Bombyx mori: one gene and its partner. The protein of the gene in region 1 interacts with the protein of each later gene in a pairwise test. Links are inferred from orthologs where the notes say so. Each region holds a gene or a part of one and is shown on either strand. Other genes may lie near its edges. The genes, in order: prefoldin subunit 5 and prefoldin subunit 2.

What was found.
Region 2: the proteins of prefoldin subunit 5 (region 1) and prefoldin subunit 2 interact in binary tests that used the Homo sapiens proteins (3 or more experiments, as listed by UniProt). The link is inferred for Bombyx mori from reciprocal best matches to the Homo sapiens genes PFDN5 and PFDN2.

Annotation. Positions count from the first base shown.
Region 1 is NC_085112.1:5,059,511-5,071,545, reverse strand, and holds prefoldin subunit 5, read right to left. Parts: upstream 8,040-12,035; 5' UTR 7,884-8,039; coding exon 7,797-7,883; intron 6,838-7,796; coding exon 6,628-6,837; intron 6,014-6,627; coding exon 5,840-6,013; 3' UTR 5,228-5,839; downstream 1-5,227. Other genes in the region: glutaredoxin 3, read left to right, coding at 9,096-9,145, 9,437-9,605, 10,001-10,263. UniProt on the Homo sapiens protein: Binds specifically to cytosolic chaperonin (c-CPN) and transfers target proteins to it. Binds to nascent polypeptide chain and promotes folding in an environment in which there are many competing pathways for nonnative proteins.
Region 2 is NC_085129.1:190,540-202,786, reverse strand, and holds prefoldin subunit 2, read right to left. Parts: upstream 7,423-12,247; 5' UTR 7,067-7,422; coding exon 6,933-7,066; intron 6,851-6,932; coding exon 6,553-6,850; 3' UTR 5,015-6,552; downstream 1-5,014. Other genes in the region: molybdenum cofactor biosynthesis protein 1, read left to right, coding at 2,125-2,263, 2,680-2,790, 2,891-3,011, 3,228-3,688, 3,766-4,155; uncharacterized protein LOC101745338, read left to right, coding at 10,836-10,908, 10,986-11,166. UniProt on the Homo sapiens protein: Binds specifically to cytosolic chaperonin (c-CPN) and transfers target proteins to it. Binds to nascent polypeptide chain and promotes folding in an environment in which there are many competing pathways for nonnative proteins.

The DNA of each region.
Region 1 (12,035 bases):
CGGGCTCTCTCGGAAGAAGCCGTCTCCAGGGGTGGGGTGGCCTTGGCGGTGTCGCTCGACATCGCCAATGCGTTTAACACCCTGCCCTGGTCCGTGATAGGGGGGGCACTGGAAAGACACGGAGTGCCTCTCTACCTTCGCCGGCTGGTGGGTTCCTACTTGGAGGACAGATCGGTCACGTGTACCGGACACGGTGGGATCGTACACAGGTTCCCGGTCGTGCGCGGTGTTCCACAGGGGTCGGTGCTTGGCCCCCTTTTGTGGAATATCGGGTATGACTGGGTACTGAGGGGTGCCCTCCTCCCGGGCCTAAGCGTAATCTGTTACGCAGACGACACGCTGGTCGTGGCCCGGGGGGGGAGTTTTGCTGAGTCTGCTCGTCTTGCCACCGCTGGGGTGGCGCATGTCGTCGGCAAAATCAGGAGATTGGGCCTCGACGTGGCGCTCAGTAAATCCGAGGCCATGTGGTTCCACAGGCCCCGGAGAGTGCCACCTGTCGATGCCCATATCATGGTTGGAGGCGTCCGTATCGAGGTCGGGGTGCAGTTGAAGTATCTCGGCCTCATTCTGGACAGTCGTTGGACCTTCCGTGCTCACTTTCAGAACCTGGTCCCTCGTTTGTTGGGGGTGGCCGGCGCGTTAAGCCGGCTTCTGCCCAACGTGGGGGGGCCTGACCAGGTGACGCGCCGTCTCTATACGGGGGTGGTGCGATCAATGGCCCTATACGGGGCGCCCGTGTGGGGCCAGTCCCTGGCCGTGGGGGTAGCGAAGCTGCTGCAACGGCCGCAACGCACCATCGCGGTCAGGGTCATCCGTGGCTATCGCACCATCTCCTTCGAGGCGGCGTGTGTACTGGCTGGGACGCCGCCTTGGGTCCTGGAGGCGGAGGCGCTCGCCACTGACTATCAGTGGCGGGCTGACCTTCGTGCCCGGGGCATGGCACGTCCCAGCCCCAGTGTGGTCAGAGCGCGGAGGGCCCAATCTCGGCGGTCCGTGCTGGAGTCATGGTCCAGACGGCTGGCCGATCCTTCGGCTGGTCGTAGGACCGTCGAGGCGATTCGCCCGGTTCTTGTGAACTGGGTGAATCGTGACAGAGGACGCCTCACTTTCCGGCTCACGCAGGTGCTCACTGGGCATGGTTGCTTCGGTGAGTTCCTGCACCGGATCGGAGCCGAGCCGACGGCAGAGTGCCACCATTGTGGTTGCGACTTGGACACGGCGGAGCACACGCTCGTCGCCTGCCCCGCATGGGAGGGGTGGCGCCGTGTCCTCGTCGCAAAAATAGGAAACGACTTGTCGTTGCCGAGTGTTGTGGCATCGATGCTCGGTGACGACGAGTCGTGGAAGGCGATGCTCGACTTCTGCGAGTGCACCATCTCGCAGAAGGAGGCGGCGGGGCGCGTGAGAGACGCACAGGCCCGCCGCCGTCGAGCGGGGGCCAGGGAGGCGGATCTCGCCCAAGCCCTGGCCCTCTAAGTGTTTCGGGTCTCCCTCACATGTCGGCCTGGGGACCGGCGAAGGGGGCCTAAGAAGACGACGTGCAAGCTGCTCTGCACGCGTTTTATGCATGAGCATCCGGGTGATGGAAGGCCGGCTATCCTCAACCCACGCTGGTTCTAACCCAGCGGGGTATTCCGTAGGATAGACCATTCTAACCGGTGCCATCTAGGCGGGCTTCGGATAGCCTGCCGACCGAGAGGGCTGGTGGTCGTGGCGCCGACGACCGCCAGTCCGGCGTCCCGAGGGGGAGGGTGATGGGAGAGATGTGCTCCGCACTAAACGCTTCACTTTCCCCCCCTTGCCTTTTCATGAGTTTTGTCTCATGCGAGGTTTGGACGTTGGTTGTTGAGAGACAGGAGGTTTTAGTCGGTTCGACTCCGACATGCCCCGCCCTCCATCCCCAGTGAAGGGTGGAAGTCCGGCGATTTCCTCCTGACAAAAAAAAAAAAAAAAAAAAAAAAAAAAAAAAAAAAAAAAAAAAAAAAAAAAAAAGGCGTCAGCGCTATCATTTTGGCCTAGTAATGAATAAAAGAAAACATTTGGTGTCACTAAAAAGTTTAGTTTATTTTAAAAATCCTATTATTCCCACAGCGTAAGGTCAAACTTCCGAAGTTTGCGCTCATACACAAAGAGTGTGACCATGAAAACTATCTATCTAATTGTACACAATTTCCTATATTCTAACGCGAAGACGCAAATTGTAAGCACTCAGTTTCTGGTGCACTTTGTTTAAGGAATGGTGACATTAAGGCTTCGATCACTATTGGTAGCCTTGTACTGTTATTTGGTTTATTTACCAACTAGCGACCCGCCCTCGCTTCGCTTCGGAAACTGTAATTTATTATTGATTTCTCCACTATTTAATGGATATAGGGACAGAGAAAGCGACTTTGTTTTGTACTATGTAGTGATATATTCCTAAAATTTCTAAACCTAAGTACTACGAAAATCTTCGAAAATTTAGTGAGATATAAGCTACGCCGAGCACAATCTTAAATGATGAAAATACACCGCTAGATCGTACACGATAAAAATAAATCCCAAGCACCATTGAGTATATTTTGTGTGTCTTGTAATGTGCCTAGGAACCCTAAACGGATTCAGCTTGATCTTAGGAGACAGATTTTCAAATTCAAAGACAAGGTCATGGGGATTTAACTGAGAAATTAAGATTTCACAGAATATATACACTAGGGCGTAATCAGCAAAGTAATTATGCAGTGTGAAGGATAAAACAGATGTTCTAAAACATATGTAGATATTTTGACCACATGTTTAAAAGCTGGCGGCGTCGATTTTTCTTTAAGCCTTGGGTTGGTGGACGGACTCGTGATACCTACACCTAGAGCTAAATGATTACGGATTGCTAAGGCATCGCAGAAAGTCTGTAGATACATCTAGAAAGAAATATGTATCTACATACCACTTTGTATCAACCATCAACATTCGACTTTTACGTCTATTGCACGCTCTAAAGGGTTTGGAATTAAAAGAGGCACCTGTTTTTGAGGAATATTTATAAAAATGTAATTTGAAATAAATTCCCTAGGAACTATATAGGGAACATTTTTACTATAGTAAAAGATAGACAATCTTACGACCCAGCTGATAGTATTTGGTCACCGACGCTCATGGACATCAGCAAATCCGGAGACCTGCGAGCCTAAGACGCCACCTACTACTATGAACTCAATTTAAACCTTATTTGAAAGACAAAAAATTAGCAGAACTTAACGCAATTTATATATCATTATAAGATTCAACGTCTATCCACAATCTGCCTACAAAGAATATTGCGGTATTTTGATCATGTTGCACGTAGGGATACCAGCAATTTGGAACGCCTTGTGGTGACTGGTAAAATGGAGAGAAAAAGGCCTAGGGGTATAGGTCCCAAACGATGGTCGGACCAAATAGCGGAGGAACTGGGGATACCTATCAGCGATGCACTCCACCGGGCTGCAGGACGGGTTCGATGGAGACAGTTGGCTGACGAAATCGGACGGAGTCACGATCCTCAGCAGTGAGGAACCGATCGAAGAGAAAGAGAGAGAGAGATATATCATTAAATATTTGAAGAAAGTTCCGTGTTTTTAAAAGACGTGATTGTTAATAACGTCTTAGGCGGCCCCTAGACCTACAATAACATTGTACCATACAATATAATGTACCTAGAATAAGGTTTAAAGGCGCTCTAAATCTAAACGATCAATTATATTGCACAATAATACGAACTGCACAATGTTCGCGAACTCAGTCAGCGCGTATACTCCTTGTCAAGACGAACCATAGACAAAAACACACGGTAACCGTACTCGTCGAACTCGACAAAGAGTTCGACGTGCAACCTAACCCATCAGCCCGCTGAGTTTCTCGCCGGATCTTCTCAGCGGGTCGCGATTCCGATTCGGTAGTAGATTCATTCGCGAAGCAGCTACTCTTGAGTTGGTCTCGGAGGCGCTCAGGCAGCTGTTAGCAAATCTCACCCCTCCTGGCTGAGCATTTGCTCGCCCACCTGTCCTGGTGAACCTGGAAAGGCCTCCGAGGCACCAGTAATACTTTAATCATAAAAAAAAAGACTTAAAACATTGCACTGACCGTACATGATGCAATAAATAAATATGGTGCAATAAAAATTAAACTATATAGTTAAAAACGTTCAATCATCGTGCAATCTTTAATATTAACCCTAGTCAAAAATACTGCCAAGTTCGCAATACCAGGCAATATAATTGATCGTCTAGATTGCCGCTTACGGTAGGTATACTTATGAGATAGTGAAAATCCTAGTATTCGAATCATGGAATTAAATTATTTTAAACTGTGATATTGTACAGACTTTAAGTCTAATAGCTGTGCATTTTTCGCTACCTATTTGCTGGTAGTTTAAGGGGCTATTGTAGCTACGCGCGGACGAGACTGCATTAATCATCATCATCACTACATAGTACAAAACAAAGTCGCTTTCTCTGTCCCTATATCTGTCTGTTCCTATGTATGCTTAAATCTTTAAAACTACGCAACGGATTTTGTTGCGGTTTTTTTAATAGATAGAGTGATTGAAGAGGAAGGTTTATATGTATAATAACATCCATTAAGTAGTGGAGAAATCAATAATAAATTACAGTTTTGAAGCGAAGCGAGGGCGGGTCCCTAGTAAGTTATAGAAAGAAGAGTTTAGCAATACACAAAGGCGACATCCGAGTCGTCTATTATCAAAGGTGGCAATCTGTGCATTTGGACAAAAAAATGTTATTGATATGTCAATACAGATTGATTTGAATATAATCGTCTCCTTCAAAGAATACGGTTCAAAACCTGCATTAAATAAAGGTTAATAGTTAACCTGTTATTTATCTAAGATGTCGTTCCGAGGAGTTTTGTGACTGCCAATGGAATACAAAGTCAATAATTCGTTTTTCTAATTTACCAATAATTGTCCAAAAGTCAGATTGCCGGCTTTGATAATAGTCGACTCATCTATGGATTGTGTAAGAAAGTTGTAAATTACATTTATACGAGTATGTAACTATCCTTCTAGAATTTGATTATTACTAGATACAACAACAATACAGGGTGTTATTCTTCAGAATTCAATAATTAGATCATTAAAACATTTAAAACAGTATCAGAATATATCTTAAAAAAAGAAGCCACTTTTTGCTGATGTTTGTTTTAGCCGCGTTTTTTTTTTGTTATACTGGATCGTTCAAGTAAAACTTGGAAATATATTTATATATTTATTTTAAACATAAGCACATTTTGTTACATTGAATTAAATTTAAAACTAAGCAATGAGTCTTGTACTTGTAAAACACATAGTTTGAAATGATATAAAGCTTTACAAAATTACAAAACATGAATTAAGAATATTATTAACATTACTTGATGCTATTGAGTAGTACTCTTGAGGAGTATTCTAAACACAAAATATTACCTTAGGTAATTAGTTTCAAAATTTATCCAAAATTAAAGAAAATGTGAGGAAAAGCTTTGATGTGGCTTAATAATATTATCTAGCTTTACATTAGAAAATATCAGTATAAGTCATAGCTGTTGGGATTACGTTAATACATTCAGAAACTTGGCTTTGCTCTGAAATCACTGATGTACAGAAGCAATAGTAACCACTTTGATTAGGACAGGGTGATACGTGGTAACAAAACACAAATGATTCCACTTTTAACACTAAGATGTAATCATTAAAATGTTTTAAAAAGTAATTAAAATACTTTAAATAAACTATAAATTAACAAAGCAGAAAATTTAGGTCAACTCTATACATTAAAAGGACACGAATCTCTCCACAAAATATTTTTTAAATTAAGTCTCAGATATGTTATGAAGAGTTAGCTTTTTTTGCTTGTAGTTCGTTTTGAACTTTCATTTCAACTAATGCATTAACAGCTTCACGGAGTTTCGATTTCTCTGCACCTAACATACTTATTTTCTCCATTTGTTCTGTAACAAATTCTACTCTTCTCTTGAAGTAATCTTTGCCACTTTCAATGTCCTAGAAGCAGAAATAAAACGTAATACAAACATATGTCAGCATCATTAGCCCTAAGGGGTAACCCATGCAGTTAATTTGAAATTATTTGAAACTATATCATGATTCAATCTTCATACCAATATTCTAAAGTACTCAACATTTTCTGAAATGAGGTTTGAAATGAAAACAGCAGCTATACATGATATATTATCCTGCCAAACTTGGAGCTGAATTAAGTGTTAAATTAGGTTTAAATTTATTTTTAACTAGCGCCCCCCCTCGCCTCGCTTCGCTTCGGAAACATTAAATTTTATTATTGATAGCTGAGTCCCGCGATGTTATCCCGTGGTACGACAATAACCGACGCCGCGGGCCGAACCTAATCTAAGAAGTAGCCTAAGTTACTCCTTATATCATCAGCTACCTATCAGTGAAAGTCTGGTCAATATTGGTCCAGCCGTTCCAGAGATTAACCGGAACAAACAGACAGACAGGCAGACAGACAAAAATTGTAAAAAATGTTATTTTGGTGTATGTACTGTATATATTCATATGCATGTAGTAAAAAGCGGTTATTTCAATATTAAAAACAGACACTCCAATTTTATTTATATGTATAGATTTAAGTTACTCACTTTCTTAGCGTAATATCCAGTGCCAATGTCAATAATGACATTCTCAACATCAGCTATTGTGCCAGGAACATACATTGAACTAGTCAATGGAACAAGCATCGGTTTTCCTTTGATATCAGGCGTCATCTTCTCTAGAACATCTCCTGATTCACCAAACTTATTTTTAGCCATTTGTAATGTTTGTATTGAATCATGAAATACTGTCAATTCCTGAAATAAAATTTTATGGATTTTGTGTGAGAGTATTGCCTTTTTTTCGGATGGAGATAGCTGGTTGCAAGGAGGCCACTACTGCTTCACTAAGATAGGCAGGGCAAGCATGGGAGCAGCCAGGAGGAGTCAGATTTACTAACAGCTGCCCAAGTACTCCCAAAGTAGACCTAAAGACTAAAGGGCAGACGTTTTACTAATGCATATTGTAACATAACATCAGTTACTAACATACAGACACATTTTCACTGGTGGTAGGACCTCTTGTGATTCCGCGTGGGTAGGTACCACCACCCTGCCTATTTCTGCCGTGAAGCAGTAATGCGTTTCGGTTTGAAGCTGTTGTAACTATACTTGAGACCTTAGAACATATCTCAAGGTGGGTGGCGCATTTACATCATAAATGTCTATGGGCTCCAGTAACCACTTAACAACAGGTGGGCTGTGAGATCGTCCTCCCACCTAAGCAATAAAAAAAATGTCTCCCTCAATTTAGTCATTATGTTTGATGTTCCATTTCTGGCTAATTATAGCAATAGCTACAATACAATAAAGAAAAGCGGATATGACCTGAAGCTGACTGTTTACGAAATAGTCTTCCAATAAAAGATCAGAACAACAACATGATGACTGCTTGTCTACCAAAAATGAGCACATTCAGTGAAGTCTTCTCTTTAACATATCTTAGATTCATAGCTTTGTGAGTTGGTATTTGAGGTCCGGGTTCATGTCACTAACAAGTACACCTAGATACACAACTCAGACCAGAAAACATATGGAAATGTTTTCATTCCGGCTTTCATGAGGGTCCTTAAAATAGGACATAAGTCCTGTCTCTTAAGGACATTAATAGTTACGACATTTAATAATTATCTGTATAAATTATATTATGTTGAAGAAATAATACTTAATGCTTACTATTTCTAAAATAGCTCTATAGATATTTCCTTTATACATACCTGGTCTAACTGCTGTTTCAATTGAGCTAGTTGAGGCAAAGGTAGTTTGTTTAAATCGATTTGTTGAGTGCCTGAACCGGATGCCATCTTTGTAAATATTAATAAAAGGAAATAATAAAAGAACTTAACACACGTTTCTAGTTATTCTATTTAGTTTTTTGTAGGATCCTAAGACTATTTCTTTTTTCTAACCTCAAAATAGGTAGATTTCGGGTAGGATCCAAAACTTCAGTCAGAATATGTCAATTTGACAGTTTTACTTGTTTGGTCCAAATTGACATGCAAACAAATTCTGCCTATAACACCAAATAAGTGAAAAAAACAAATCGATAAAGAAAACCTCTTAGTAAAATGTTGAGAATTTACAGAAACTAAACTGGATTTATTAGTGTGTATCAATTTGGCTAGTCATATTGGTAGTTTTCTACCAATTTGACCGCTAACGAAAATCGTATTAAAGAGGTTAATAAATTTATAAGTTAACAATTATGTTGCGAGCATTTCGAGAGAGCAATGACTAAGCAAACCTTTTAATCACCATATAAATTAGCAAAAAAATTGGCTCAGACACAAAAAAATCTACCACTAAGCTTGATCATTAACCGTAAACAATAAGATGGCTAAGCGATTTTAAATAAATAAGATATACATGACATAATATAACTTCGCTGTGTTGCTAAAACTCCTTATTGTGTACATCTATTTATTATTTATGACTCCTTTTGCTTGTCCAAAAAACAAATCAAACAAAAAAATTTGGCTCGAAATAGAGATGATGATTCGACTTCAGACCAAAATTTTGAAAAATCGATTCTAGAAAATACCCAAGTGCAACCAAAATGACACAAAAATCAATCAAACAGAAATTAACAACAAATTCATTCAAAAAATTTAATAAATACATGATTTATATACAACAACTTTTTAAATTATTATTATTTAAAATGTAAATTTAAATTTAATAAACATTATATTTAATATATTCATAATCAGTTGAACCATAAATACTTTATTAATGCCTTTTCATCAAATTTCGATTTTCTACTGCTTAAGATGTTTCACTATTCACGATTTAAGTTGTTAACAAATTAATTTACTCAAGTATCGATCTTAGACCACATCCCTAATCAGAGATGTCAGAAACTGAATGAACATGATTAAATAAATTGTAATTTTTGCATCGAGTACACCTACGATTCCGGATCTTGCTGTAATTGTAATTCAATCTTGCTGTAATCCAGTGGCGCTTATATACTGTTTACAAAATTTATTAAAGTAACCTAAACATAGTATACTGAAATGTCGGTCAGTAAATTGGACTCTGTTGAAGATTTTAATAATTTTATAAGGTAAGAATCACCGCTAATAAAAAAGTACTTTTAAAACCGTTTGTGAAAGGATCATTAAAAATAAGCCATAAAAAGAAATTAAATTAAATACACAGTAAATAGGTAAAAATGTTAGATAATAAATTACTATGTAGCAGGATGGTCAACATTTTGCATTCATTGAAATGGAAATATGTATTTAGAATATAAAATTGAGAATATTACTTTCAATTAATCTTTTATCACAACAAGATGATTCTTTAATATCTATCTTGGTATTGGCTGATATCAAAAATTATTTAATTAATTTAGATCACCTGCACTTGGAGTAGTACACTTTTCAGCAGAATGGGCCGAACAATGTAAACAAGTTACAGATGTACTTGAAGAACTCTTAAAACTTCCTGAAATTCAGTCGAGCAAGACACAATGTGCTGTTTGTGATGCCGAGGCACTTTCTGAAGTTTCCTTGCAATATAAGGTAATGCTCTGCTAATATATTGTTAAATAAAAAGTAATAAGTGCTAACCCTAAAAATGTAGTGCATCATAAAGCACAGACAATTAAGTCACCTATTGCAATACCTGTGTATACTTTTTTTATTATTTATTAAAGCCATACACTTATTAGGTTAAGTCGGCTTATATACCTTTATGGATACATCAATTTGTATCTTGATTTTGGTTACTCAACTATGCATTAAAGACTTTATGTCATTCTTCAGATTGAAATAGACTACTTTAGGAAACACTACACTAGACCAGTTAAGCAATCAAAGAGCCTATGTAATTGAATATTGAAATAATTTATAATGAAAACAATCAAAATAGGGAAAGCCTGTTTTAGACAACTTATTAATGATTATGTTTATTTCAGGTAGATTCAGTGCCTACAGTTATATTATTTAAGAATGGAACTCAAGTAGACAGGATTGATGGAGCAGATGCTGCTCAAATTAGCACAAAAATTAAAGCACAGAGTCTTAATAAGAGTCCTGCAGAAATAACCCCTCAGAAACTTGAAGATCGACTAAAAGCTTTAATAAATAAGCATAATATAATGGTATTCATGAAAGGGAACAAGGAAACTCCAAGATGCGGGTTTAGTCGTACTCTCATACAAATTCTGAATGGAACAGGGTATGTATTATTGATGAAATGATCAATACCTATAATTTGATTGCACTATTTTACATGTGTAAGTATAGATGTGACTTTGTCATGTGAAATTTGGCTTGGCCCTCGAGACAAGTTTTGTAAAAACTAAAGAATGGAGAACATTTTGCCTATTTCTACAAAACAAATAGGTATGATTTAAATTGCAAAATGAAAGATTTTTAGTTTTCTATTTTTATTTATTTTGAATGAATATTTATAGTGAATATATACATATAAAAATCACATGCTTTCTTACTCTAATGTAAACAGCAGTCCATCTTCACCAATTTGATTTGATATTTTCATGACACTCTTCATAAGTATGAAATCATTTTTTTTTTATTGCCTAGATGTGTGGACTAGCTCACAGCCCACCTGGTGTTAAGTGGTTACTGGAACCCATAGACATCTACAACGTAAATGCGCCACACACCTTGCAGAAATAGGCGGGGCGGTGGTACCTACCCGTGCGGACTCACAAGAGGTCCTACCACCAGTAATTACGCAAATTATAATTTTGCGGGTTTGATTTTTATTACACGATGTTATTCCTCCACTGTGGAAGTCAATCGTGAACAATTGTTAAGTACGTATTTCATTAGAAAAATTGCTACCCGCCTGCGGGATTCGAACACTGGTGCATCGCTACATACGAATGCATCGGACGTCTTTTAGGCCACGACGACTTCAAAATTACCTATAAACTTGGTTTATTTTCACAAGTAAACCGTGGAATAAAAACTTTTCTGCACTCTTAGCGTGTGGCGGGTAGCCATCATACAACGCAAGATAATTGACAGATGCCTGAATCTCGCTTATGACATTTTCAAGATAAAGCGCATATATCACACATCCCATCACAAGTGGGCTGTGAGCTCGTCCACACATCTAAGCAATAAAAAAATAAAAAAAATACAAGTTCCGAACAACGACATTCGGACCGTCGGTCTACCGAGCAATATCACCCGCTCGGTGGAAGATCTTTCCTTTCGTCGTTAAGACTCCCAAAGCGCACATCAAAACACTCCTTTTGGCCTGACATAGCTTTTTTAGTACTTTTTTTGTTGGTCACATGTTTTTAGTGTAGTGCTAGAAATAGTACTGTGACGTGCTCGGGTTCGGGATAAATAAAACTTTCACCGAAGTACAAATTAAAACTCTATTTAACTCTTAGAACATTTAAGGCACACTTCATAATTCCTTTACACAACTTTAAAACGCGCTGAAGGCATTCGAAAGCAATACCGTCATCTTGATAGGAGTTATGAATACGATAGGGAAAAGCGACAATACGGACCAACACGACTAAGGGAAGCAATTTATTAAAGTCTGCGAAAACCACGACCTTGTTATCGGAGGTACACTTTTCCATGATAAAAATATACATAAGTATGCGTTGACTTCACCCGATGGCAACATACGTACGAAGACCAAACTAGCTGCCAAGTGTTCACAAAAAGTGTAGTGCCGATATCGGCAGTGGTCATATGTTGATGGTCGCTGAACTCCGGCACAAGGTTGCGACTACGAGGCGAGCAGCTGGCAGCAACAAGATACGACTTAAGTTCGATTGGGGACAACTTGATAGAAAGATTTCTCGAAGTAAATTTGCTTTGGAACTCCGAAATTGTTTCTTCCGTCTCTATGCGAATACTGATAATACAGACGAAGAGTGCAACCGAATCAAATCTATCAAGAAATCAGATCTTCTGTCTTAGATCATCTTGGAAAAAAGCGCGATGATTGGACCTCCG
Region 2 (12,247 bases), on another chromosome or scaffold:
ATACTGTTACAATTAAAAATTTAAAAAAATCTAAAGAAAATAACATTTATTACTTTTACAGTGTGTTAGTTTAATACATAAATATAAAACAATTTAAAGTATAAAAAGCTTATTCGAAGTGGTCTCCATTGGCTGCAATACAGTCCTTTAAACGTTGAGGCCAGTTATCAATAGAAGCACGCACTCTTTCCATGGGAAAATTTTTCACTGCCAATTGTACGGATTGTTTTAGGGACTCCAAATTATCATGGCGTTTAGAGCAAGCCGTACTCTCTAAAACTGACCATAAATCATAATCCAGCGGATTAAGATCGGGACTAGACGACGGCCAGTCTTCAGCTCTGATGAAGTTCGAAGCATTCGTTTCCAACCAAGACTGCGTAGACCGAGCTTTATGACCTGGCGCCGAGTCTTGCTGGAAGGACGATTCTTGATTATTGAACATGGTGTTGTTAAGGGGCTTCACTACCTTCTCAAGAATGGTATCTTGATACACTTGTGCCGATGTTTTGATACCTTTTTCACAAAAGTATGGCTCAGTCACTCCTTCATAGCTAATACCCCACCAAACCATCACTGAAGTCGGATAGTGCCCACGTTGCACTCTGTCGACTAATTGGGAAGCTTCCTTAAAGCTTTGAGCATAAATACGGTCATTTTGTTTGTTAAAATGTTGCTCAATTGTAAAAAATTTCTCATCCGTAAACAAAAATTTTCTATGACCTCCCTTTGCGTACCGCTTCAGTAGTTGTTTCGATTTTACCACCCTATTCTCTTTTAAATTATCAGTTAAAAAATGACCAGTACGTCTCTTATAGGCTGCAAGTCTTAAGTCATCTAGGTACTATCTTCATCTCCCGAGATAAAATCTTTTGCTTTCGGACAGGATTTCTTCGAATTCTTTCCCTTACTGCTTTGACCACCTTTTTCGTGCGAACACTACGTGGACGGCCAGATCTTTTTCTGTCACAAACAGAGGAGGTCTCATTGCACCTATTAATAGCCCGGTACACAAACATTTTACTAATACCAAGCGTATGGAGCGTTTTAAAAATTGCATTTGGCTCCATACCTACTTTGTGTAATGCAATCACAGCGATTCGGTTCTCTTTATCACCCCACTCCATTTTAATATCGCAAAATATTGTACAATGTATTGGCGCCAAAATGAGAAAACTCAATGAGCAATCATATAAAAATGACAGATTCGAAATTCAAATGTAATATTTTGTTTATTTTTAATTGTAACAGTATTTATGGCCAGACTAAGTAGATGCGTCTCGTCTGCATCACATGTTGCAGGTAAAGTGGAAGTAGATAGTAATTTGAGTTATAGGCAATATTTAATTAAAAAAGCGAAGTTGAGCACTTGAGGCGAACTCTCTACAGCTGCTTGTTTGTGTATTTCGTATAGACAACCGGTGTTGTGCAGCGGAGCGCGGCCGCAGCCAATATGAATAGTAATCACTTCCGGTGGTTTATTGTCGCTCAGTCGTAATCTTGCGGAACCTGTCGACGAAGGTTTTGTAAATAAAAAATACGTTCATATATCTAATTACCAATTAGATTATTATAAAAATAAAGAGAACCGAAAAAAATATACATATTTTTACATGTTTATATCTAAATTTTAGTGTAAATGTTTATATAGTAATAAAATAAAAATGTCATAACCAAAAACGGATAAACTGAAATAAACACCAAAAGAAGAAACAGAAAAGTTCCTCCCGGGGCACGCCGCGGCGGGCGCACTGCGGGGAGGGCCCGCGCCGCTCGTACCGCCTGCCCCACGGGATGTGCGATAAGGGATGGTTGTGGTGAATACACAAGGACATATTATGACAATGTATGTGTAATGTAATATCTTTACAGCCTCCGAGAAAACCACACAGAACGTAAATTCATCAAATAATACCTCGGTACTTACAAAACTGACTACTTAAAATCTTAGTTCGGACCGCCGAGACGCGACTCGGCGTCAGGGAAGAGCGCGGCCCGCACCGTGCTCCCACCGCGCGGCCGACACGGCGCCGTGTGCGGACCCTCTCTTGGTACAGGGCGGCTCGTCCCGAGGGAGCAGGCGATGGAGTGCCACCATTGTAACACATTTATTTGTGTCTGCAGGTTCATAGAATTCATGCCATTTGCCGGCAACGAGTGGAAGTCGGGCCGCCTCGTGCCGCACCGCGAGGTCCTGCGGGCCGCCCGCGCCGCGCACCCCGGCCTGCGCCCCCTGCCCCCGCGCCCCAACGACACCGCCACGGTACCCCCCACACATATACTGCACTCAATACTAGATGACAGGTTATGTACGTAGTAAAGGTACCATTACTCTGCTCGATTATTTATAAAATTGACAGTGAAGAACTTGCTAGCTCCTTCATAAACTTTAACCAGAAGTAGGATTAGTATATTATGCTCTGCTAAGTAGGTACTGTTATTGAAAATCGCGAGAATCCTCTTAATCTGGGCAGCGTAGGGCCGGACATTGCAGCGAACCTGCGACCATCAGAGAATGCCAAAGGCTGATAAACAAACTTATAACAAAAAAATTAATTTTCAAATAATTTAATTTATTTCTTCAAGCTAATTATTTGACTTGAATATCTCACATCGCGTACGACTTGAGTTTTATCGATTGCGAAACAAACGCTGTAATGAGTCTGGTTCGTTGGACAGCTGTGGAAGGTGGGCGGGTACGCGGGCACCGTGGGGTTCATCTCGTCCATGACGCAGCACTTCTGCGCGACCTGCAACCGACTGCGCCTCACCGCCGACGGGAACCTCAAGGTGAGCGGGGCGGGGGCGCGGGGCGGGGACCCCGGGGGCGGCGCGGGGGCGGCGCGGGGGGCGCGGGTCCCGGTACAAGCGGCCGTGTGTGTGTGTGCAGGTGTGCCTGTTCGGGGCCGCGGAGGTGTCGCTGCGGGACGCGGTGCGGGGGGGCGCGGGCCCGGCGCGGCTGCTGCAGCTGGTGCGCGCCGCGCTGCACAACAAGAAGGCCGCGCACGCCGGTAACTGGGCAGCTGCTCTCTCCTACCTTGCCGCTCTTGCCTCTTCGCCCTGTCCACCCTCTCTGAACTAGTTCGTGTACTCTGCACAATCAGCACTGCACGAATGTAGCATCACCGGTCCCCCTCGTCCCGAACCCGCTTGTGCTGCATCAGCTCATTTCCTTTACTAACATTGTTCGTCTTGGAACGAGTTTCGACGCGTTCTTGGTATTTCAGTAGCGCGAGCTCGGTCCGGGCGGCGCGAGGAGGCGGGCGAGCGACGGGGGGCCGGGGGGTGGGGGGCGGCCAACCTCCGCACTCTCGCTGATCCTTCCTCTACTTATAGGAATGCAAAATTTGGCGCACATGGAGAACCGGCCCATGATTCTCATAGGCGGGTAGGTGACTTAACCTCGAGAGACGGGCGCGCGTTCAAAGTACAGGGGGTCGGGGGGAGCGGCCGGCTACAGGCGCGCGCTTACTGCACGGGGGGGTCGCGGGGGTCCGGGGGGTCCGAGCCGCCCGCCCGCCTCTCGCACCTGGACGCGCAGGGCCGCGCCCGCATGGTGGACGTCAGCTCCAAGCCGCGCACGCAGCGCGCCGCCGCCGCCGAGTGCGAGCTGCGCGTCGGCGGCCGCCTGCTGCGCCTGCTCCGGGACGCCGCCATGCCCAAGGGAGACGCGCTCACCGTTGCCGAAGTAATTTATTTCTCGAATTCGATGCAGACCCAAATGGAATCTTTAAAATGAATGATTAAGTCAAACACTCCTTACAGATCGCGGGAGTGCTGGGCGCAAAGCGCACGTCCGATCTGATCCCGCTCTGCCACCCGCTGGCGCTGGAGCTGGTGCGCGTGCGGGTGTCGCTGCCCGGCGGGGAGTGCGCGGCGGGGGGCGCGGTGCGGGTGCGCTGCGAGGTGGGGGCGGAGGGCCGCACGGGGGTGGAGATGGAGGCGCTGGTGGGGGCGGCGGTGGCCGCGCTGGCGCTGTACGACATGTGCAAGGCGGTGGACAAGCACATGTCGGTGTCGGAGCTGCGCGTGGTGCACAAGTCGGGCGGGTCGACCCCGCGCGCCCGCTCGCCCCCGCCGCCCCTGCGCGCCCCCGACACGACCCCGCTCGACCCCAAGGAGACCTACGCGCCCACCGACCTCGCACACTTCTAACTGGTCACCACAAACCTGTGACTAGTGGGTAGTGCCGCGCCGCGGTAACGCTGTGCCCTCGCTCCTCCTCGTGCTTTACTTCGTGGTTATGAATTTAGCTTTTAAGGTAATGGTGCTATTGTACAATATTAACCAAGAACAAAATTAACTACTGGATGTTAATAAAAAACAACGTTAAGTCTTCAAATTTTATTATAATTTAAATACATGTTAATCAAATGCGACATTAGAATCTTCTCACACTGGGCTCCGGCTGCGCCTCTCACGGACATAACACAATGCTAACGGAATGCAGAATGTTAGATTGCAATTATTTTGGATTATCATAGAACATCATCATATATGACTGGTATATCAACAAACTTGAGGAACAGTCAAAGCTGTTAAATTGTAAGACATTTAGATGTGCTGTGCGCGGGATATTATGCGAATTGCTCGGCCAACTAACTGTATGGCCTTCTAATATTCATTCTACTTCATTTCGTTCCTAGAAATATGAGTTCGAAATCTCAATTGCTTTTGAAGGTTCCACCTTACCTGAACGTAACTGCTTCTTGGAATAAAATGGATGTTAGTGGCGCCCGCCGTGCGGCTCCACTAGACGCCATAGTTCGCCAGCACAACACTCAGAACTATTTTAAGTGGAAACATTGTAAAAAAACCTAAATCCATCCACTGTGGTTTCTAATACCCCACCTGATACATGGAGGTAAGAAGGCAGGGCCCGACTAAATGTAAAGTTTGGATTACAATAAACATGTCAACGAAAGGACTTGCATGCCAATTGTTTGTTATCCTCTGTGGTATCAACAGTATTGGAGATTAGTCGTCAGACCCTTACAAGTCCAAACTACAAAAATGAATTTTTCAGAAATATATTTTATACAAAATTACTTTACATGAAATAAATATTAGTACACTTTTTTTTGTTTAGTTATTCTTTTCTATATTATAAAATAAAGTTTCTTGTTATTCCTGGCTATTTTTATTTTAAGTAACAATAAATTTTAAGGTTCCAAAAATTAAAACCAAATATGAATCTAGCCATGATCATGTTTTATAATCATATTAAAATTCACCTGATGAAACAGAAAAAGTTGTCACTGTTTTATTGTGACATCCCACCTGGTATTAAAATTTTATCAGACCTCTGACAACATTATGAATGTCACCATCCTGCTAAGAGTATAGGAAGTTTTAATTATATTGTATAGTTGTCCATAGAAATAAGGTAATAATCTAACCATGCTCACTTAGAGTATGGTGCAAGTAATAAATTATCCAAACTTATTAACTTTTCAGTTGAGACTTTTTACACAAAGTTATTACCTGATTGCCATAGTTCATCTCTGAACTCGGACATGCGTATAGTATATCATTCAAATTGTTGGCAGTAAGTTGGCTCTACCCCTGGCAATGGTGAGCCGTATGCTCGTCTGGGCAAGGGCAAATGAAAAATTCAGGCATTCAGGCTTGTTAACTGGCCAAACACTTCAAAATAGCAGTAAACCTTAAAGCTATGTACACAGTTAAACAATACTCTCAAGGTTTCAGTGATATTTCTACTTATTACAGTTGCCTACCAATCACATTGACTCTGCATAGGTGAGCTTCAGATGCTGTGACAGCATTGGGAATATACATATAGCACAATGTGGAAAACATTTTACTATTTAAATTATTTTTCTCTCATATATTACTCTAATGTTTAGAGTTTAAACATTCAAAGCTTATTGTTTTTGATTAGAAATATATCACTGTCACCTTAGACATTGTTAAAGAATGGTGAGGACAACAACAAAAAACTCCATATTGTCTTGACTTCTTAAATGAAGCTATTCTCATAATTGTTGGGACAAAGAGACTGCTTCTCTGCATTTGTATTACATATTCCATGAAAAGTGTTGAAAAGTTGTTCAAGATCTATTTTATTATTAAAGTTTATTATCATACTACTTTCCACTAGACAAGGGTTCATATTCTACTGCCTGAAAAAACTGTTTATTGAGTTTAATTCCACATTATTTGAGCACATTCAGCTGGGGAATTAATTATTCTCTGTGGAGTTTTCGCTGTAGTATTCCTTTCTTTAAATATGTGGTTAAGTGTCTTGGAGTATTGTCACACTAAAATGATTTATTTATCTGGTTGAGATGGATATTCAGTTAGATTTTCCTTTTCTTGTCATCATATTCATAAAGTACTGCTTCATAATACCATGTTTGCCCCCCTTGCCCCTAAACATCAGCCAGAACTAATTTATCAAGCCACACCGTAATAGTATTGTTAATAATAAAAAGTTTCCCAGTACTACCTCACACTGCTTTAGGCAAATGTAGGACTAGTCTCACTGTCAATACACTGCGACAGCTATATGAAATGAAAGGATCAGTATAGTTAACCGCTAGCAACTAGCACATTAGACTTGGTAGAGGTGGATTGCTCTGGAGGTGGTTCAGGCATGGTGCGATCAGCACGTTGGATGCGAATATCATGTTCCTCAATGTATTTATTGATCTCCTCTCCCTTCTGAGTGAGTTGGTCTTCTAGGGACTGGATGGCCTTAGGTAGCTGTTCATAATTGCTGATCAGCTCTGGCAACACCTCAGCTACGGTGCGTTCGACAAGCACGCCCCCAAACATCCGGAAACACTTACGGGTCAACTCCACTCCCCGCAAAGTCTCAATTACGATCCTGTAGACATAATTTACTATGTATTTTGTATTTTTTTAAGCAGTAGATTGATATGCAATAGATTTATTCCACATTTACTCACTTATGTTCGTTTAACTCCATTTGTAATTCTGATATTTTACTCCCTAATTGACGTTGTTCATTACGAAGAGTTTGGAAACCAGCAAAGATTTCCTCATTCGTTTTTTTTCCTACTTTTGATGTATTTTTAGCCATTTTACTCTAGGTAGGTAGGGGAAATGGAAATCAAAATTTTAGGATTTTTTTTTATATAGTTTTAAAAAAAGAGTAATCAATTTAACTCTCTTTGAAAAGTAAAAATAATCACGGTTTACTGAAAGTTTTAAAAATAAAAGAACATGTAAATGTATTTTAAATTAACAAAAACTCAAATTAACTAGTTTTTATCGAATACACGGATTAGGTTATGTACATTAATGTACATGTCAGTTTTTTTTTTGCGAACGCTGGCTACTTTACCTTTTAGGCAATTTTTTTTTTTATTACTTCACAAGAAAATCTTTACCCTCAAATAAATTGTGACCATAGTTTGTGAAACACTTGAGATAAGTTTGAGTCATGACAACCAACTCCTGAAAAGCATCTATTATATTTAAAAAGCATTTTTGGGACGTATTTTGATAATATCCTAATCCTTAGATTAAAAGCATTAAAGTCTTTGTCTATTACTAATAAAATTTAAACTACTAAGTTCTAATAGTACAATAGTTGGGGAAAAAGTTTCTTCGCATTTTTTAAGAAAATTCACATTTTTTAATATTGTTTATTTACATTTAACTAAAGTATGTAGGTACCATTTTGTTCGATAACTTTTTGCCATCTTGTAGGTAGGGACATGATCCCATTGCTATGGGGCTTCCGATCAAAATACCGCGACAATTGGTTTTGGCAGTCCTCTCGTGATGTTAACCTGACAATGCCTAAAAAATTCTGAAGAGATCGAAACAGGTGGAAGTCTGAAGGTGCAAGGTTAGGACTATAGGTAGGAACATTTTATCCGTAATACCCAGCTTAGATAAGAAAAAAAAAATGTATGTGTGACGTGTGTGCAAGTCACACACGGTAGAAGTGAAACCTTTAAAAAATAAAAATTATCGCAAGGGTCAACCACTCCATAGTGCAATGGAGCAGCCTCACCCTGGGGGAAACCGCCTGCATGATCACCGTATCCCTACGCCAAGTAAGTATGATTAGATTATTTTTTTCCTACCTATGCTGATAGCCTTGAGAGGCTATATCAGTGTCGCCTTAACTAGTAGGTGAGCTCACGGGGCTCAAGCCGGATGATGTTGTTAACACAAACCCTAGCAAGAGCCGTGCTTCGCAGAATCTACCACCTGATCGGAAACGCGACCCATTGAGAAGAACCGACGAGAAACTCAGTGGGCTGTGTCTGAGGGTTACTTTATTCGTCGAGCCCTTCGTCGCAAGCGACGGGTTCGACGAGAACGATGACGGGTTCGACGAGAACGATGACCGGTGCTTGAGGTACTTAAAAGCACTGTTAGTGGATCGGGAGGATCCGAAATGACGTGTTTGGGGCGACGTCGACAGCTTTCCATTCTCACCGCAGGATCGGGATTGTAGTTACCGACGGCCACGATGAGAGGGTTCTCGTGTCGTGCCGCTTTATCGAAGTGGCGCATTGACGCCGACTGAAGATACTTACTGATGGACTCTAAGTCCAGGTCGTCGTGGAGCTCCGACGGCTATCCTGCAAAAACGGGATTGAATAACTTGGAATGATTTTAAGCTAGTGCGGGCCGCGTGAGCGAACACTGCGCTTGCATAGGTCATATCAGGGCGTACGCAAGTTTTGTAGAGTGTCACCCTATTTCTAAGGGATAATTTACTTCGCCTGCATATCATCGGATAGAGAGTGTAGAGACATCCTAGTATGAAGGCGGCATGATCACGTACCGTCTTCAAGTGGGGGCGGAATGTCATTTCTCTGTCGAGGGTGACGTCTAAGTATTTGACCTTCGGGGCCGACGGTATGGGTTGGTCGTACATGATGAAGAGGCGAATGGCGGAGGCGGAAGTGTTAACGCGCCTAGTCGGGAGTAGGATGTTCCAAGTGGTTGTGATTGAACAAGAGAAATACGAGAACGTTTATCAACTGTGTAACATCTCATCACCGCGATTCAGGAATTGTTGAGTTTACGTGCAGTGACATCTGTTGATAACAAACTAAATAGAAATAAAAGTATCTCAGGGCGCTCCAAGAGCCACGACAGCATGCACGGACATCAAAAACACACTGAACTAGTCGAGGATGCGAGACCGTGTGGAGTGCTTCGTGATTTGTCGGCGCCGCTCGGAGCCGCTTCGGCAAGCCAATCGCGGCACACTTATTTTTTCGTTTCGTTTCATTTCGTTTCATCGAGTTTGAAAACACAACGATTCTAAAAAAGTTTCACTTCAAAAAATCACGTAATGATCACATATTAACCACAGTGTGTAAATGTGTAATGTGTTGAAATGTGTAATAACAGTGGTTTATTAGCTGTTTAATATTTGTGAAAGTGCACAAATGTGGGAAAATGAAACAAAGCCGCTGGACATAATCTCTTGGGACCCTCCAAAAAGTCCACTGAAAAAATCTCAGTAAATGACCACTATTTTAGTGAGATTACATTTCATCTCATCTCATTTAATTTAATTTCATCCCAGTTGAATAATGTCTCAAATTAATAATCTTCATATTATTTCCCTCAATATTATAATTTAATGTCTCGTAGCGATCTTGATTAGTTAACAATGAGCTATTCCTTTGGCTGATTTTAATCTTAGTAGTGATATAAACAGAATCAGTTGTCCAGTGATATCTTCATCTTTTGTTGTACGATTTAATTTCTGTTCTGTAAGGTAGGTATACTGTGCCTCCTTAATCTAGTAAACTGCACAGCTCCTGTGCCTCCTAGGTCCGACGCCAATTTATTGACGTGTGTCGATAACCTGGCTTGGTATTTTTTGCTGTAAGCTACTATTTCCTCTTTCACTGTGGGAATATTTAGGTCCATTTGTATGATCTTGTTGCTTATGTAATGCGGTATTCTTACCATTGTTCTGAAAGTTTTATTTTAAAACCTTTCAAGGATCTCGACATTGCTATTGCTGGCAGTTCCCCAAAGCTGTATGCCATATGTCCATATTGGCTTTAAGATGGTTTTGTAAATTAAAATTTTACTTTCCGGCGAAAGTTGGGATTTCCCTCCAGTCAACCAGTACATATTTCTTAGCTTTATGTCCAATTGTTTTCGCTTAGACCAGATGTGCTTTTGCCATGTCAGTCTTCGATCCAGATGTATGCCAAGATATTTTGCATCTTCCGCTTGCGGTATGTTTTCGTTGTATAAGCTTACAGGTGGACAGGTTTGTTTCCTGAGGCTGAAGGTAACGTGGGATGATTTGCTTTGGTTTACTTTAACTCGCCACGTATTAAACCATTTCTCAAGGTCATCTAGATGTGATTGTAAGTTTTCAAAAGCTGTTGTAGGGTCGTCAGGAACAGACATAATAGCTGTATCATCTGCGTATGTTGCAATGATAGTGTTTCTGTTGGTTGGTAAGTCTGCTGTATAGATGAGGTACAGGACAGGGCCGAGTATGCTGCCTTGTGGCACACCAGAAGTAATCTCATGCATTTGTGATGATTCTCGGTTATGTTTAATCTCAAAGCATCGTCTATTAAGATATGACTTAATAATAGCGTAATAGCTGTGTGGAAATATTTTTTTCAATTTGAATTTATATTGAAATATATAAAATAATTTAACTTAAAATAAGACATGACCTAAAGGTCTTACTTACCAGGTCATTAAATCCCTTAAAAAAACCTTCTGTCTTTGTTTTGTGACAGTCAGTGACAGTTCGTTAGTACACATAGATTATACACATAAACATAGCATGTCAAACCATTGATAAACATTCTTTGAGGATATTGCATACGATTACCACTAAAATGTCTCTATTTCCAGCGTATAGTCAAGATTGCGCAAAAGTAACTGAAACAAAAATATCGAACATTGATGAGCGTAAGATGAATAAAATGCAATCTATATTATTTTAATAATATTGTTGACGAAAGGCTATAACGCGTTATCACCTGCAGGGGAAGTATCGCCGGCTGGTGAGGAACAGCTGCTCGCTAGTGATAACTCTACCGACGAGTATCCAGCTCCACTACAACCACCACTCCAGAGTGATCTTACATCTCCTGACTTTTATCTCGATACCAAGTTCGACCCCGGTAACCTGCGAGTCTCAACCTTGTACTATCCCGGCCGACCTGAGTAAGTGTTTTTAATTTCATTTTCACACTGTCCACATCTCGATGAACTGTAATTAGAAAGTTGATTTTACTTCAAGCTTTGAAATATTATTCACTGATGGGAAAATTATGCTCGAATGTTTTTTTTTGTACCTATTTACTGGTAGCGTAAGGGCTATTCCAGCTTCTCATTTACAGGCAGCTGAGCTCATGGACTCAACCTGAGAGAATTTGCTAACACTAACCTTAGCAATAGCAGTGCTTTGTAGAATCTACCACCGCATCGGAATCACAAAATGTTGTCCTAAATGAATCTTTTCTTGAACCTCAACCTAGAATAGCATCACCTCATCTCTTCCCTTGGGAGTTGTAAAAAGGTGATTATGGTATTCAGTACAGAAGAAAAGAAATTAATTCTAAGGACTGATGGTAAATGGCCAAAAATATCCCTGGAAATGCACCGTGAATACAATAAAAGAAAATAATAGAAATTTAGAGCAGTTAAATATTTTTTTAGACATTCTATCTCTAAAGGAGAGAAAAGCAGAAATATATTTAGAAAATTTTATTCCTTGATAATTTTCACTAAATTTATTATTTTTTTATTGCTTAAATGCGTGGATGAGCTTACAGACCACCTGGTGTTAAGTGTTTACTGGAGCGCATAGAAATCTGCAACCTAAATGCCGCTACCCACCTTGAGACACGAGTTCTAAGGTCTCAGTATAGTTACAACAGCTGCCCCACTCTTCAAACCAAAACGCATTACTGCTTCATGGCACAAATAGACAAGGTGGTGGTACCTAACCGTGCAGACTCACAAGAGGTCATACCGCCAGTAGTTACGCAAATTATAATTTTGCGGGTTTATTTTTATTACACGATGTTATTCCTTCACCGTACAAGTTAATCGCGAACATTTTATTAAGTACGTATTTCATAAGAAAAATTGGTATCCGCCTGCGGGATTCGATCACTGTTGCATCGCTAGATACGATTGCACCGGATGTCTTATCCGTTAGGCCACGACAACTTGATTAACACTAATACTAACACGACATTAATACTTCATAAATGCTAGGTAGACTTGAAAAGTTCTTTAT